Oreochromis niloticus: one gene and its partner. The protein of the gene in region 1 purifies or fractionates together with the protein of each later gene. This does not show direct contact. Links are inferred from orthologs where the notes say so. Each region holds a gene or a part of one and is shown on either strand. Other genes may lie near its edges.

Region 1 (8,493 bases):
TTATTTTTATTTTAGTGGACACTAAAATAATTACAACAGACAGCTGCTGGGGTTTGGAAGAGAACTGAACAAATATTTAAATTATAATCTGATCATTTTGAAGCAGCCTTCAGAATCTAGTATTAACATGCTGTTTTTGTTCCCAGTGAAAATGTTTCCTCCTGAATTGAAATATATCTCAGCCAAACCGATTTTGTTTGGAAATTTGTGATATCTTGATTAATCGAGCAGATATTTGAAGCGTACACAGCTACATTCTCACTTCAAAATAACTTAAACGTTTATTTTGTGACCCAGAAAGAGTAATATTTAAAAGTTTTTAGCCGCGCTCCTCCGCCATTGCCGCGTTTGGGTTTTGTACTGATCACGAGTACACGAGAATGCAAGTACGCACAAGTACGCATATTGAGACAGGCCCCTTGTGTATTTCTTTATTGACACACATCTCCGCTGGTAAAGTGTTGGAATCTCATTCTGGGCTCATTTCCTTCCTTTCCTCTTCTTTCCTCTTTATTTCCTTCTCTGTCCCCTCATTTGCTACCTCCTTATTTCCTTCCTTCCTTATTTCCTTCTTCCTCCTCGTGTGCTTCACTCAGCAGGTGTAAATCACCTTCTAAATGAGGTGAAAATAAATCTGAGAGTTTGTTTCTTTACGTTAATCTGGAGTGAGCCTCATCTGTGACACAGATTATAATCGATTTTTATTAATTCATTGTTTTTCTTTTCTACGTTTATTCTTTTAAACATTTTTAACCTGTCAGAACGGCTCCTTGTTTGTGAGAATAATAACAAAGTTTAACAATAATATGAAATGTCAGACTTCAGGGGAAACCTGTCCTTCAGAGCCATCGTGTGTTCATCACTGCATTCAGGGTTCAAGCTCATGAATGGGAAATCTGTTGCTCACTTTGCTTCAGGTCTGAAACTGATCAGCGATCCCAGAGGAACATCGAGAACGATCAGCACTGATGATCATGCAGAAAGATGCAGGGAATTCTTTTAAAGAACAGGTTTTTATTCGTGGCAGTGAAGAAGAAACTGGAACTTTTCCATCATTTACTTATTCATGCATTACTTGATTAGATGAGGTTTTTATCAGAGACTGGAAGGTCAGCTCTGTAGTTCTGATGGATAACGACGCATCACGCTCACAGAAAAGCTGAACCTCTGTGAACATTTTACCATCAGCAGTAAAACTTCAAAGAAGCTGAAGCTCAGACACGCACATCTGATTACAGAGTTTATCTGCTTTGTTTTATTTTACTTATTTATTTACCCTGGATATGATGAGATGCACTGAGCTTCTGTAAAAACTTTATTTAAACGTGTGAGTACACTCTGGTCAAAGATGATGTTGTGTTGTTCTGTTTACACTTAAATAAAGACTTGAATCCTCTTAAAATCATCAATTTCTGTTTTTATTTACAATCATTTTATTTACGCAGCATCACAGCTTAGTCACATGTTCGTCGGTTTAACATCCATTTCTTCTCACGGCGCTCGTATCCAACTGTTCGTCTGTGGTCGATGACTCTGTCTACTCTGTCGACACGTTTAAATAAAGCTTTTTTGAACACGCTACTCGCTGTCCCGTGACAATCGTCTGAGGGGTCCTCCTGTGTGGACGACGGTGAGGCCACAGGTCGCTGCAGCATGACGTCACCGTAGAAACACCATGGTAACAAGACCTGCGAGACAACCACAGTATCACTGCTTCCTTCTCTACCTCCTCATTTCCTTTTCTGCCTCCGTCTTTGTATGTTTTTGTGTACTTCTGAATCTTCAACTTCTCGTTCCCTTATCCCCCATCTCATTTCCTTTTCTACCTCCTTAGCTTTCCCTCCAACTACATTCTTGTTTCCTTTTCATTCCTGCCCTTCTCTCCTAATTCCTTCTCTAGATCTAGTTTCTTTTCCGCTTCCTTATTTCCTTTTCTAGTTTCCTGTTTGCGTCTTTATCACCACATTTCCTTCCGAGACTCCTTCCTTTCTGCTCTGACTTCTCATTTCCTTAACTGTCCCTTCATTTCTCCTTTCTTCACCTATAACTGTTCTTCTCTACTTCCTTGTTTCCTTCTCTATCTATTTCAATTCTTTACCTTCTTTTTGCTTACTTTTCCACTGTCGCATTTCCTTCCTGTCTCCCCTCTCTCTCAGGTCATACAGACGTGTGTGTGTGTATGTATGTGTGTGTGTGTGTGTGCGCGTGGTGTTACCCAGTGTGTAGGCGCAGACCAGCTTCTGATTGGTGGAGACTTGCAGCCAGTGTGGAACCAGCGAGTTGCTGTCAGTGTGCAGGGGGAGCATCAACACTGTGACACACAGCACCGCCACAGCCACACACACCGCCCACTGAGACGCGCTGCGCACAGCTGCAGACACACACACAGACACATCATCAGTAAGATCAACTCTGCACCCGCGAATGCACTGCTACAGGAACCAATCAGAGCACTCCATGGTGCCTTACCTGTGCAGGCAGGCAGGTGTGCCTGTGCGGGCAGAAGCTGAGAAGTAGGACGGGGCGGCGCCCTTTGTTGACCTCCTCTTTGCTCCTCTTCCTCTCGTCCTCCTCTAAGCTCCGCCCAGATCTCCCGTCGTCCCACCTGGCCTCCGCCCCTAACCTCCATGCGGAACCGGTCCCTGCGGCCACAGTTTCTGGGGGAGACGTCCAGGTGACGCACGACCCTGACAGGAAAATGAAATGCTTGATTGCATGAGAGCCTCGTTATGGAATAAGTTTTAAATAAAGTTTGAAACACTCACAGGTCGACGCAGGACTTGGCCCGGATGCTGCCCTCTGCCTCCACCACCCTGTAGAACGAGGGCGCTGTGCACCACACTGTGAGGACAGAGAGAGAGGCTGTTAGAGGCAGCGGCGGCGTGACCAGGGGCCTAAACATGGCTGCACTCACTCTTGAAGCTGAGGCTGAAGCTGTAGGGTTGTAAAGGGTCAGCACCCTCCTATGGGAGCTCCTCTGCTCGGCGTAGAACACCATCTCCGAGGGGAACAGGAAGACGGCAAGCCGCGGCATGCCCCCCGCCGCCACGCTCTGCTCCCCCGCCACTGCCGACCCCCCCTCGTCTCCTCGCCCGTCATGGCTCTGCCTCCTCCTCATTAGTCCGCTCTGTGTGGAGCCCCGCCCGCGGACATGATCGGAGAGCTGTCATTGGATACCTAGAGGTAACACCGCCTACCAAAACAGTGAGAAAAAAAAATCATTTAACGAGGAGAAAAAAGTTTCTCTTTCCTAGGCTGTGGCTCCTTGGATCCTCCTCTGCTCCTTATTTTGCACAATGCCTCCTTGTTACCTCTCCTTACTTCTTTCCCCCTCCTTCTCGTCCTTTCTGTGTCCTCATTTCAACCCTTCCCCCTTTATTTACTTTCCTTCCTCATATCCCTCTTTCCTGCCTTTTCTCTGCCACCATGATTCTTACCTGATACCTTGCTGCCTTCTGTACGTCTTTCCTTCCTTCTGTTTGTTTGTTTACTTCTCTACCTCCTCTTATCCTTCTGTGCTTCTTCCCTTCCTTTTCTGTTTCCGTGTTTACTTCTCTAGCTCCTCGTTTCCTTCCCTAAACAAACAGGACCCAGCATGTAAACAGTGGAGAACAAACACAGGTAACGCCTCATAAATAAGTACCTCAGCTCCTGTGTATCCCTCCGCAGCCAGCCTGTAGTATAAATTGTTTATTTCTGGATCTCTGTGTAAAAAACTCCGAAAAACTTCACTAACAGACTTTCTGTTAGTGAGCTTCCTGCTGTTTGCTAACGCTAGCTGCCCAATCACTCCGACCCGCCAAAACACCGGTAATGTGACGCAGCAGAAACTGTCGCCAGCTCCGCGGTATGATCTCCGGCTGTCGGACGGTCACACCGAGGCGTTTTATGGGAGTTTAATCCGGTAAAAAACAAAAACAAAACAGAAATAACACCGCTCAGTGTTTCTACTCACCGCTGCCCCCGGATCTACTTCCTCAGCAAGCTGTTGCTTGTGATAAATCCCTCCCCCTCTCTAGCTCTAAACCAATGAGCGTTCGGAAAGAATCCCAGCCTTCTGTTGTTTTGTGTGTCACATCAGACTCCTTAGTTTGACGCTGTGTTTACGCTGAAATGATGGTGGCAACAGTTGTAATTCATTTTTAATTCTGAAACTAAACAAGAAATCAGTTTGGATGTATTAAAGCCATAATATTCAAGAGAATGGTACAACAATGGTTGCTACAATGTTTCAACCATGCTACAAGAAAATGTTTTCTTTCTGTGGCTCTCGGAGGAGGCGGACGCATCTTTCACCCTCTCCTTATCTTTCTGGATTATCCTTTTGTGTTACACATTTCACAGTTTTTTTTCCTTTGCTACCTAGCCTGACCTGTACGGTCGGCAAGGTCTCTCATCTCGGTTGTGGGCAACTGCAACTGACAAATAAAAGCCATCTCATCTCGTCACAATGGTACAACATTATAAGCAATAAATTATTTAACAAATAATTGCGGCTTTTAGTTTCCTAATTTAAAAATTAAACATTTATATAACGTCCTACCAGTTATACACTTTTAAATGTATGTTTTCTACATATTTATACATATACTTGATTAAATAACCAGCATCTGCTGCATTCAAGAACTCTCGGAAATGAAAGACATAAGAATGCCATGCACGAATTTTTAGTTGAGTAGGCCTATCGCAGAAGCAAATCAATGTTTAATTTCATTTTTGTCTTTATCAAAAGGCTCGTCATCGTTTCAAGTATCAGTCTGTATAAACATGTTTTTGGTCAAATGATGATGAATTCATAATCAACTTCACGTGTGTAATTTATTGCATGTCATTTTAAAATAACATTTTACTTATTTATATAACATCAGTAAGCTAAAGACTACAGCCTTCTAAATATCGGATATGCGCTGTACGTCATTAACTTCGCTGTATTAGTTGATAGAGTTCGGATGGAGGAGTTTAGAATGAGACCTTGAACGTCGCACGTTGATCGTTCCTCGTCTCCTGATTGGTCCGTTGCTCTTCGTGTCTCGGGACGCGTCCGCTTTATAGAGTCACCTTGCTGCTCTTGCTGCCGCCGCTGAGACAGGGAGAAAGCAGGCGGAAAGCTCGGCCCAAAGGCACACAGGCAGGCGGGCGGCAGAAATCTGAACGCAGACTCTGCGGCCACTGACCGATCGGGGGAAACATGGCGGATGCGAAGCCCAAGACCTCCCGAAGGCCATCAAGTTCCTGTTCGGGGGCTGGCTGGGTAGGTGATGCGGCTAGCTGCCATGCTATCGCGCTAATGTCAGGGGTCAGAGGAGAGCTCTGGTCAGTTTAAACCCGCTCTGTGTCAAACCTCTATGCGGTTTAAAGGACAGCACGGAGGCCGTTACCTCGGCGGAGCGACACGCTGATGGTTAGCTGTTAGCAGCTGATGCTGGCTGTCACAGGACGGGCTGCACCCCGATAACTCAGCGGGGACGGTTTTCATCAGCACACCGGTGTCATGACGAAATCTGGGCACCTCTCTACATGTGTTAGCCAGCCGTGTTCGAGTAGAGCTTCCTGTCTCTTTTTTCTCACCAGAACACGTTTAAACATGTAAACTCGTAAAAGTCCTGAAAATGTTCCGCTTGTATCCCCGGGAAATTATTTGTTAAAGCGTCCCGCCTGGGCTCTACACCGAGGAGTGCTAGCAGGCTAACGCTGGATTAGCAGCGAAGCTTCCCTAAAGTAAACTCTGACAGCAGATGAGGGGAGGTCGCACCAGTCAGGGGGACCTGACGTCGGCTCCCCGGTCTGAGCTCAGCCCTGGCCGAGTTCCCGTTAGCATGCTAACTGTAGCCGGGATGGATGACAGCTTTATGACCATGATGATGAAGATGATGTAACCGGGTTTAGAGTCCTCTAAACTCTGAAATCAGGTTCAGTTAGACTCTGATCCATGTTTATCACAAAACATTTACAAATTTAATCATGTATCATAAAAGTTATGGTTAATTAAGCCAATTAATAATTTGATGAATGAATTAAAATTATAATCTCAATAATTATCTCATACTGCGCCTCAGTGATTGGATGCCCCTCACGCAACAGGGTGTGTGACTATCTCTGACATCATATTGATCCAAAAATAGAAAAAAAAATGATAAACTGAACAATTTGACCTTTTGGCTCACAGGGATTAGTGAACGTATGCTGACATGAAGGTTAACATGAGTGTGTGAGAGGAAATATGGAGAACCAGGCTGTTCAGTAACTCTATCTTCTTAAACTGAATGTTTGCTTTCAAGTGTGTGTGTGTCAGGTTACTTTAGCAGGCGTAGCAGGTTAAACAGCTTCATGATAAACAGTTGAAGGTCACCAAATGTTGACAGTATGGCTGCTTCTTACAAACTTAGTGAGGTGGTGTCAACAGTTGACTTTATTTCAAACTTGCACACATTTTTTCATATACATATCTCAGAAACTATAAAAGTTAAAAATAAAGGCATGACTTAATATTAGAGCTGTAGGTTTGCATATTAATTTATATTTTAATCCATATTTGGTGTGAATCAGAGATAATTTAGAGGTATGTCTGCACCATCTCTAATTTTACAGTTTGTAATTTGTCATTCGTCAGGATCCCAGCACGCTCTTCTGTGAAGCTTCATTTGAGAAAAATAAATGAACGTGTTCTGATTTAAAAGACAAGAATCGCTGCCCCAGGCAGGTTTTCATCATCGTGAGTTAATCTGTGCTCTCTCACCTGCTGCCGTCTGGGTTTTCTGAGGGAGGCTAAACTCTCACCTCCTGATAAACCCACAGTACCAGCTCTTCCAGTCCCTGATAACTTATCACTGCAGAGTTACCACATCGCTGCAGCTTCACTACTAACAGGAGTGTAAATTCATTAGAGGAAAACACCTCTGTTCTCGAACTGCGCTTGAACTCGAGCTACCATGTTTTAGTTTTTACTGTCTCCCTTAACTGTAAAACTCCTCCCTTATGTTCTTTTCAAATAAAAAAAAACTTTTTAAGTGAACTTTGATTTATTTTGATCACATTGTTTGGATTTCAGTGGAAGTTGTTGGAACAGTCAGTCCAAAGGTCTCATTTTATAAGTTACGATTTAAATCGGTTCAGACATCTAAAATAAAGTGTCAGATACGTGAAAACAAGTCTGCGCTCCCAGGTTTTGTTGTCTTTGAATGTGCCAAAAAGTACTTGCTTTCATGTTTTCTCGGTAATGCTTCAGCTTTAATAAACGGATCTGTCCTGTTTCTGCAGGATGGGCGCGACCGTCTTCGTGCAGCCGTTGGACCTGGTGAAGAACAGGATGCAGCTGAGCGGTCAGGGGACGAAGGCTCGAGAGTATAAAACCAGCTTCCACGCCTTGTTCTCCATCCTGAGAAACGAGGGCGTGCGAGGCATCTACACCGGGTACCAGCGCTTCACCCCATCCTGATTTTTATCATTTTAACTCTCGTTTTGTCTCCCTGCTTCACTGTGAGTTTCTTTGTGTGTTTGTCAGTCTGTCAGCAGGTCTTTTGCGTCAGGCGACCTACACGACGACCCGTCTGGGAATCTACACCATCCTGTTTGAGAAAATGACCAGCAGTGACGGCCGGCCGCCGAACTTCTTCCTCAAGGTGCGCTGAAAGAGTGAAAGGCTTATGAGCTCTGAAATCATCTAACCAGAAGCTGGTAGAAAGCTTTTAATCAGTGGTAAAGGTGTAGATGCTATAGCACCCTCCATGCTGCTGAGTAACAGTGTGCTCCCCCTACAGGCTCTGATTGGTATGACAGCTGGAGCCATCGGAGCATTTGTGGGGACGCCAGCAGAGGTGGCGCTGATCAGGATGACGGCCGATGGACGGTGAGACTGTTTACCTTGGAGCAGCTTTCTCTGCACGGCATGGACACAAAATGACTCGCAGGCGTTTTCCTCACCGTTTGTGTCTCCAGGTTACCTGTAGACCAGCGGAGAGGATACAAGAACGTTTTTAATGCCCTCTTTCGAATAACCAAAGAGGAAGGTGTCACTACACTGTGGAGGGTGAGCCTACCATCATCATCATCATCACCATCATTTTCTTCACTTGGGCCTGCATGAGTAGCCATTAGTCCAGATGCAGTAATTTAATGTCGAAATTTTAATTGATAAAAAGGTTTGTGTCCTGAAGTGGTCCTTCACCCTGAGTAGATGCTGCCCGATTTAACATCACACGAACATTACATTAGTTATTTTTTATTTTTCTTATTTGTTTGTTTAATTTTTATTTGTTTAACTATTTATAGTTTTTCAAGCTGTTGTACTGTTATTAATATGTGTGAAAGCAGTTAATGGGAACAGTGAGCTACGGCTGCAGCTTTTATTGAAGCTCACTGGTGCGAATCCTGAGCAAAAACAAGAAAAATTACCTCAGTTTTGATTCTCTGATATTTTTGAATTTGGCTTTTTCACAGCTTATCCTCATCTTTCCAAAATTTTTATTTTCCCAAAATTCTCAGTTTTTCTTCTAA
Region 2 (7,928 bases), on another chromosome or scaffold:
TGGAGAAGACACAACCTCTTGGAATCTGAAAACTCTGGTGCCCTTATTGGCATTCACGGCAAAGATCCACATAATGGTAAAAAAGGGATAAATCAAATTTAACCAAACAAAACTAAACCCCTGTCATGTAAAGCCCTTAGCACAGGTGAGAGAGCAGCGATGCTGCGTACCTCCAGCCGTCTTGTCTCAGGTAGCTGAAAGCCCCATCAACCACACTGGCAATGAACTGGCCACCAGTGATAAAGAGGGAATTGATGGTGACCAGCTGACCTCGCAGGTGAGGAGGGGAAACTTCTGCGATGTACACAGGAACAGTCATGGAAGCAATGCCTAAAGGCAAGGAGGGGAACAGTTTCATGCTAATGTACAACAGATGCATTCCCACAGACAATTCATATTACATCCTAGCTCTGTGTTTGAATACGGCAAATATTGAATAATGAAAGTCAAACAAAGGGCTCCTTATAAGAAGCAAAATCATAATGGTGACTTTACCTCGATACAAGCTGTAGTGTTAAATAAAACAACTCACCTATGCCCAAACCAACTGTAATTCTGCCAACAAGGAGGACCACCTTGTCTGGGGCAAGACTCAAGATGATGCCACCGACAGTGAAGATAAAGCTGGCCACAAGGATACAGATCCTGCGCCCCAGCCACCCGTTCAGGTAGCCTCCACTCAGGGCAGAAAGCGCTGCAGCTCCCACAGTACTGGAAACCAGCAGCTCCTGCCACAGAGCATTCAGGTTCATTTCCTTCTTTAGGAGAATCATGGCTCCAGAAACCACTCCAGTGTCATACCCAAAGAGGAATCCCCCCAAGGCAGAGAAAAATGCCAACAAATAGACAAAAAGCGGCTTGGGGGCATCCTGGTCTAGGAGATTCTCATCCACATGCCTAGATGGAGGTCCTATGAGACTCCGCTCTCCATCGTCCCCGGCTTTCTGTCTCCTGCTGGCCATAAGGTTGCTCATGTGCTCCAAGCTGTACTCATCATAGCTGCTGGACATAGGAGAAACCAGAGGTTAAGCTCACCAGGGGTTGCAGGTCACCACTTTATTAAATAAGCCAGGTGACATACTTCTGTGAGGAAGTGGCGGTGACGTGTACATGGATGCAGTCATTTCCCATTAATACAGATTACAAAAAATAATCATTTTGTTGTTGTTGTCGTTTTCCCCCCAACAAAAAAATAGCAATATTTTCAGTGCCACACTTTCCGTTAACCTCTAAGTTAAAGTCCAAACCTGGGGGTGTTTTTAGGTGTCCAGCTCGAGAAAGCAACACGTCGTGATTTTAGCAGCTATACTAGCTAACTTTGATGACGACAACATTTCGTGACAAACTCCTGTGGTTAACCGAGCGCCAGATTCTGCTTGTGTCGCAGATTTCGGAGTCGCGCCGTGGGAAAGCTGCCTAAACAGTGTAGGTTGATGACTTTAAACAGACTTTAGATGTTTTTGTTCACCACTGACAGCGCTACTGCTTTGCTCTGCGTGCAGCCATGTTTGTGCGTGAGGTCACGTGCCCACCCGGCTACAAAAACAATGTTGTTTCTTTTTTTCAAACTGAGTGTTTACAATGTCCCTACAGCACCGTGCCAAACTCCATCCAAAATGTCATTTTTAACGAATTTGTGCTCAGCGGAGACTGTTGTGCACGTAAAACCAGAGTTGACAGCACATGTATTGTCTACTCGAAAATTCGGCAGAGATGTGAGCGAACAATTTTCATTCAGATTACTTTTTTCCCCATGTATATATTTTTCATTCATCTATTTTTCATTACTTTCATGTGTATTTCCGAATGTAACTTCTACTTCATTTATTCGTATAATGCTAAAAGTACGGAATGGTAAGTGACCCTTATGCCCCTCGTCCCCATAAGTTATCTGTTTGCAGTAAAGTCAAATAAGTCGCATTATTGGACTTTAGCCTGTCAGGTCACCTTAACTATCTGTGAAAAAACTCTACCATACCTGTAAAAAAGCTGCTTTCCTCCAGCGCACAGTGCTGCTGTCGATATGCTCTTCAACAAACAGGAAGTCTGTTATGTGGATCATATGATATTATCCCTGAAAAAAAAAACGTAAACACGCCCATTTGAACTGTAAAATGTAGCCCAACTGGTTCTTTTTATGGTAGTCGTGATTAATGAGCCAAGACAGCAAGAATTTGCACTGGCCACAAAACATGGCAAAGATTTTAACTGTGAGCACTTTATTATGCGCTATTAGTAAGTTTGGGCAGATTTAGATGGATACGTTTCGCGGAGGTAAATATTAACTATTACTTTAGAGAACAAACAGACACTTGACAGATAAAGACACGTTTTCCACCGGGCTTTCCTACATATAAATTGTGCAAAAAGCAAAACCCATCCAAATCGTGGTCTAATGTATACTTTAAAACACACTAAGCAGTCTTGAGTCCTACAATAAAATTTCAGGACTACAATCTCTAAACAACAAGTGACCGAATACAAAAAATATAACATACATCAACAATAGCATAACATGAATGCCCAGTGGTCACGTGAATAACACTGATTATGTGTTAGTGGGTGGGATATATTTGTGAAGGCTAAACAACTGAGTCAGAGCATCTCCAATACTAAACTGTTTAGGAGCAGTGTTAAATCAGCAACAAGGTCATGAGCCCTCAAGGCTCACTGATAGCCTACACATGGGGAGCAAAGAATGGTCTGTGTGGTCCGATTCAACAATTCATGCATGTTCTGATAGAAAGGTGTGGGAATACAAATGTTTTTTGTTTTTTTTGTTTGTTTGTTTTCTTTTGGGGGGGGGGGCAAGTAAACCAGAGACAACTCTGGTGATATCAGTCGCACAATTACAGTTTGAATCTTGGGGGGGGGGGGCATAATTAAGGTGGAGGTAAAAGATTTCTGGGAAAAGTGAAGTCATGAGTACCGACGAAGGTGCCAACAATGGATGCATGAGGATTAGAAATAGATTTAGAAGTTTCTCTTCCTTCTTTCTTTATTTAAGTAGTCTTTCAGAATAGTTTTGAATGATAAAAAAAAAAAACTGCTGAAAAGTGAAGATATTTAGGCATATCACTGGTTCATCCCCTACACTAAAATTACAAGAAAAAGTACAGTCTAACTTTCAGTCTTCCTCCTGTGATCGATGACGTTTCTTTTATCTGCAGACATTTTTAAAAATGAGCCGTGGGGTTGTACCCAATGCTAAATACAGGAAAAATAAGATATGACCACGATGTCAAGCTGATATTCTGTGCTCACCGACTCTCATCCAATCCTCAAATCAGATGGTGCTCTCCTTGCCAGGGAACAGCTGGACCTGAACCACAGCTTCCAGGGATACTGGACGTACCTAGACTATAACATAGTTTGTACTTGTGTTATATAACTTAAACAACATAGTTTTGTCAATGATTTCTTGTTTTAGCCTCACACTCATTTACTTTCCTCTCTGTGGGAGAAAAAGGTCCACCCTTCACACAAGTGTCCAGAACATAGGGCCACAGGTCTGATGATACAATTACAAAATTGATCATCAACCTGCAGCCTAGGGTCTCTTATTGCCATGTGCAATTATAGACACCCTTATGTTTGAACATGGTCTTTGTTATCGACAATTTCTGGTTTGCACAGAAGTCTAGTAATAGAACATCACTCTGGTTCACATCTGGCAGGCCGTTCCTCCCAATCACGCGCCTCCGGGTCTCACTGTTGTTGCCCACATGAGCGTTGAAGTCTCCCAGTAAGACGACAGAGTCCCCAGGTGGAGCACCCCCAGGCACACCACCTAGGGACTCCAAGAAGGCCGGGTACTCTGAACCTTCGTTTGGTGCACGGGCGCAGACGACAGCCAGGACCCATTCTCCAACTCAAAGGTCCAGGGAACAAACCCTCTCATCCACCAGGAAAAACTCCAACTTATAGGCAGCAAGCCAAGCGGATGCTAACATATTCTGACCAAATTGTTTCCAATTTTCCACATTAGGTACAAAGCAACACTGAAAAAGCTTTTACTTTGGAAGCCAAATCATATTGCAAAAAAACAGCAATACAGTGTAACTCTAACAAGTGGGGATGGGTGCATTGATGCAAATATTGAAAGTACTGATCCCAGCATTGATATTGCTCCTGCTTCATGAAAAAGTATTAACGTCTGTGCAAACACCGGTCCTTTCAGGCAGCCACACTTTGCTCCACCCTCACCTCCTCCCTGTGGTTTGTTGCTGTGGAGTCACATGACTTAGGTGCACCTGGTGTCGAGATATTTATAGCTGTAAATGAAAACACTGCAAACAGCGATGCATGTAGGAATTTCTCCACTATGACTTTATTGTGTCACAACTAGACAACAGTGGCAGTACAGATTAAAAGTATACAGTTTTACTGTTGTTTACATTCAGTGATGCCACCTAGTTATGTTAATTCTATGTGGAGCTGCTGGTGTGGTGGGATTTTTGAGTTGAGGGGGCATTCCACAAAATATTTCTCACCGGGAATTCGGAACTTCCGACTTATTCAGGAACACAGCATTAAAAAAAACAAAGTATCGATCATATTACCTATTATCGATTCAATACCAATACAAGCTTTGGTATCGATCCGCTCACCCCTACTATACAGGGGTGATTACTTTGGGAGGACACCTAATTTAGAGACTAACTGAAATAATTAAAAAATATTTTAGAGTTTGCTTTAGTGTGGGAATTTTCCTCCATCATACACAGCAAATGTCAGTGCCAGGTCAAGCTGCATTGTTGTAAATCTGTAAATCAGCAACTGGCATTAGACGCAGAGTGGGAGGGCTCACTGAAGCCACTCGTTAGCCTGTAAAAGTGTAGCCTGAAGTAAAAAACAAAAAAACAAACAACAAAAAAACCGTTGGGGGGTAACGTAATAGCCGCTTGACTTGGCTCTCTGTCTGACTTGCTTCCCCTGCCAGAGAGAAAGTCGGATTCTCTCTGACTCTATTTTCAGCTTCCTCTTCTGTAAGCGGGGAGTTTTTACTGCCTGCAGTCATATGATGCGATCGTAGGAAAGCAGGAACACGCCTTTCAGAGAGGACTCGCTTCGTTTTCACATCCAAGCAACATAAAATCACCGACTCCGCAAAGAGGAACTTATTCTCTGCCACAGGAAAGTTAGCCGAGGACTGTGATGTCGGAACCGAAACTCCGCGACACTGACCGCTTCCCTTGTAGCGACAGCCACTTATAGCTGTCTGTAGCTACTGTATTATTATGCAACACAGCAATTCAGTAATGTTTTGTAAAGACATGAGTAACTACAGTGGATTTTCAGTGAGTTATTTATACGCTAATGCTGCGCTCAGTGTGGCCGCTCGAAGGCCGTTGTCGGTTCTGAGAGAGCGCAGTGATTGACCTCAATGCACGTCAAGTCGTCAGCTGGAACACCGCACTTTAAAGACCATGGTTAACAAAGAGGAGCTGGAAGAAAGGCTGAAAAAACTTTTGGTGAGGCTGAAAACTCCCCAGGAAGACAGGCAACTGTGCACGCTGATTCAAATCATCCAGGATCTGCTTTTCCTGGCGCACACCGACTATGGTAGGAAGCACATTGTTTCAGCGTGTGCATCATCACGCTGCTCATAAACAGCCATCATTTCCTTTTGGCATTTTTTCATTGCCTTATGAGAATTAGGTCAGATTAAAGTTTTTTTATTCAATCAAGTAGTATTTGCCCAGTGTGAAATGTGATATGACACTCACTACTTTTGCATGATCGTTTTTATGGTTTTATTTATTTCAGCCCACAATGTAATTCACTCTTCTTGGTTTTTGTTTGTTTGTTTGTTTTTTAACTCTGATCCTTTTGTGCATTTTTTCCCTTCCATCCTTCCATCTTCTAGTCTATTGATGCTGTATTTATTTGTTCATATGGTCTACTTTAAGGTTTGTTATACAGCAGGTTAATGATTTAGCTGTTTTGAGTAATTTCCCAGTTTTGGCGATAAATAAAGCATATCTTATCTTAAATACAAAACATAATGTCTTTGGGGTCATACTAAGGCCATTATAGTTTACTTAAAACTAGGTGTGAAAACACATTCAAGTTACCTGAAATCAAATTTAAAATGGGATTGACTTAGATTTGTAGATTTTAAGCACAGACTTGTACCTGCACAATGAAGCCCTGCTGTAATGCTGCCTTGTTATGCACATTTAAAAATAGGAATGAGGGTAAAAGACCCAGTCACTCTATTCAAAACTAATGGGACTCATCGTGTCTTCTTATCTCTTGTTCCATGTTGTAGCAGCTGAACTGTTTGAAGACAAAGATGTCCACGTGCCCCTCGTGCTGGTTCTGTCTACCCACATCAGCAGCAGAGGAGTCCAGCAGGTAATGAATGACACAACAAGAATTAGCCATTATTATGGCAGGTGGTGCTATCTGGGTGAGGTGAGGTGTGTTCAGCAGCATCACTCGCTAAAACAGCCTCAGCTCTTTGTTGTTGACAAATCATCTGTGGACTGACGCACCTATACATCTAGCATGTCTTGTGACTGACGTGTAATGCTAATTATCAGAGGTAAGACTGCATATTGAAGCAAACTGAAAGTGAGATTGTAAGATTCATATATGGCAGCAGGTTGTGGCGCTCTTTCTCAGTACTGTAATGTGTATGCTTGAGATCAGAATCATTACTTTTCATTGGTTTATTATAATGACTCATTCCCGTCATTTTAATAAATTGTTTGTTCTTCCTTTTTACAGGTTGGCTGGTCATTGCTGTGTCAGCTGATTGAAATATGCCCCACTACACTGGACCAGTTAACCAGACCTTTGGATGAAGCCCAAGAGTGGGAGGTAGAGGGAGTGCACCAGTAAGTGAAGACTCTCTGGCAGCTGTGGGCTTGATGCAGCACCACTCATTTAAATGAATGACTATCATGATGGCTCATGCCACACGAAGGTACATGAAGTATGTAGCCGTGGTCAAGACAACCTGCTCAAGTTCAAATCAAGCATTAAAATTGGAAGGAAAGGTGATTGGAGTGACTTTGAATGTTGCATGTTGTTGCTGTTGGTTCCAGATGGGCTGGGCTGAGTAATTCATAAACTGCTGGGTTTTTCCCACAGAACAATCTCTAGGGTTTACAGGGAGTGGTTCAAAGAAAAAATGTCCAGTGAACGGCAGTTCTCTGGGCAAAAACCCCTTGTTTATACCAAAGGTCAGATGACAGTAGTCAGACTTTATAGTAAGGCAAACAGTAACTCCAAAAACAACTTGGCACTATCAAGTTATGCAGTAGAGCATCTCTGAATGTTCTTCTGAGATGCACAGCAGAGATGCACAACATGTTGAACGCTGAAACAGCTACAGGGGCAGCAGACTGCACTGGGTGTCACTCCTGTCAACCAAGAACAGGAAACTAATGCTACAGTTAAAACAATCTTGTCAAAATTGGACGACAGAAAACTGGAAAAACGTTACCTGCTGTGATGTGGCTTGATTTCTGCTGCGACGTTCAAATGTGAGGGTCAGAGTTTGGGATAAACTGCATGAATGCATGGATCCATCCTGCCTTGTAGCAACTGTTCAGGCTGGTAGTGGCGAAATGGTTGTAATGCCACAGCGTAACCGAGTATGGTTGCTGATCATGTTCATCCTTTTATGACCAGTGTGCCCATCATCTTTAACACAACTGTGCACCATGTATAAGCTCAAATCATCCCAATCTGGTTTCTTGAACACAACAATGCCTATGCTGAACTTTAAATGACCTCCACAGTCACCAGTTCTCAGCCTGGTAGGACTCCTCTGGGATGTGGTGGAATAGGAGATTCGAGTCATGGTAAATCTCAAGGCAAAAAGGGGACTAACGGCCTGTGAGTGTAATTTCATTTGAAGTTGTTGTCGGGATTAAATAATCAAGTTAGTATTTAGGGTGAAGTAGTTAAAACAA

What was found. The genes of interacting proteins can lie anywhere in the genome.
Region 2: the proteins of slc25a11 (region 1) and lrrk2 purify together in Homo sapiens (co-immunoprecipitation; 3 studies listed by IntAct, with this or other methods). This does not show direct contact. The link is inferred for Oreochromis niloticus from reciprocal best matches to the Homo sapiens genes SLC25A11 and LRRK2.

What each region holds. Positions count from the first base shown.
Region 1 is NC_031967.2:58,407,042-58,415,534, reverse strand, and holds the start of slc25a11 (mitochondrial 2-oxoglutarate/malate carrier protein), read left to right. Parts: upstream 1-5,003; 5' UTR 5,004-5,195; coding exon 5,196-5,251; intron 5,252-7,139; exon of another isoform or gene 7,140-7,162; intron 7,163-7,257; coding exon 7,258-7,410; intron 7,411-7,501; coding exon 7,502-7,619; intron 7,620-7,757; coding exon 7,758-7,846; intron 7,847-7,935; coding exon 7,936-8,026; intron 8,027-8,493. UniProt on the Homo sapiens protein: Catalyzes the transport of 2-oxoglutarate (alpha-oxoglutarate) across the inner mitochondrial membrane in an electroneutral exchange for malate.
Region 2 is NC_031972.2:42,293,167-42,301,094, reverse strand, and holds the start of lrrk2 (leucine-rich repeat serine/threonine-protein kinase 2), read left to right. Parts: upstream 1-4,852; 5' UTR 4,853-5,429; coding exon 5,430-5,565; intron 5,566-6,274; coding exon 6,275-6,360; intron 6,361-6,735; coding exon 6,736-6,845; intron 6,846-7,928. Other genes in the region: proton myo-inositol cotransporter, read right to left, coding at 171-330, 533-1,002, 1,082-1,131. UniProt on the Homo sapiens protein: Serine/threonine-protein kinase which phosphorylates a broad range of proteins involved in multiple processes such as neuronal plasticity, innate immunity, autophagy, and vesicle trafficking.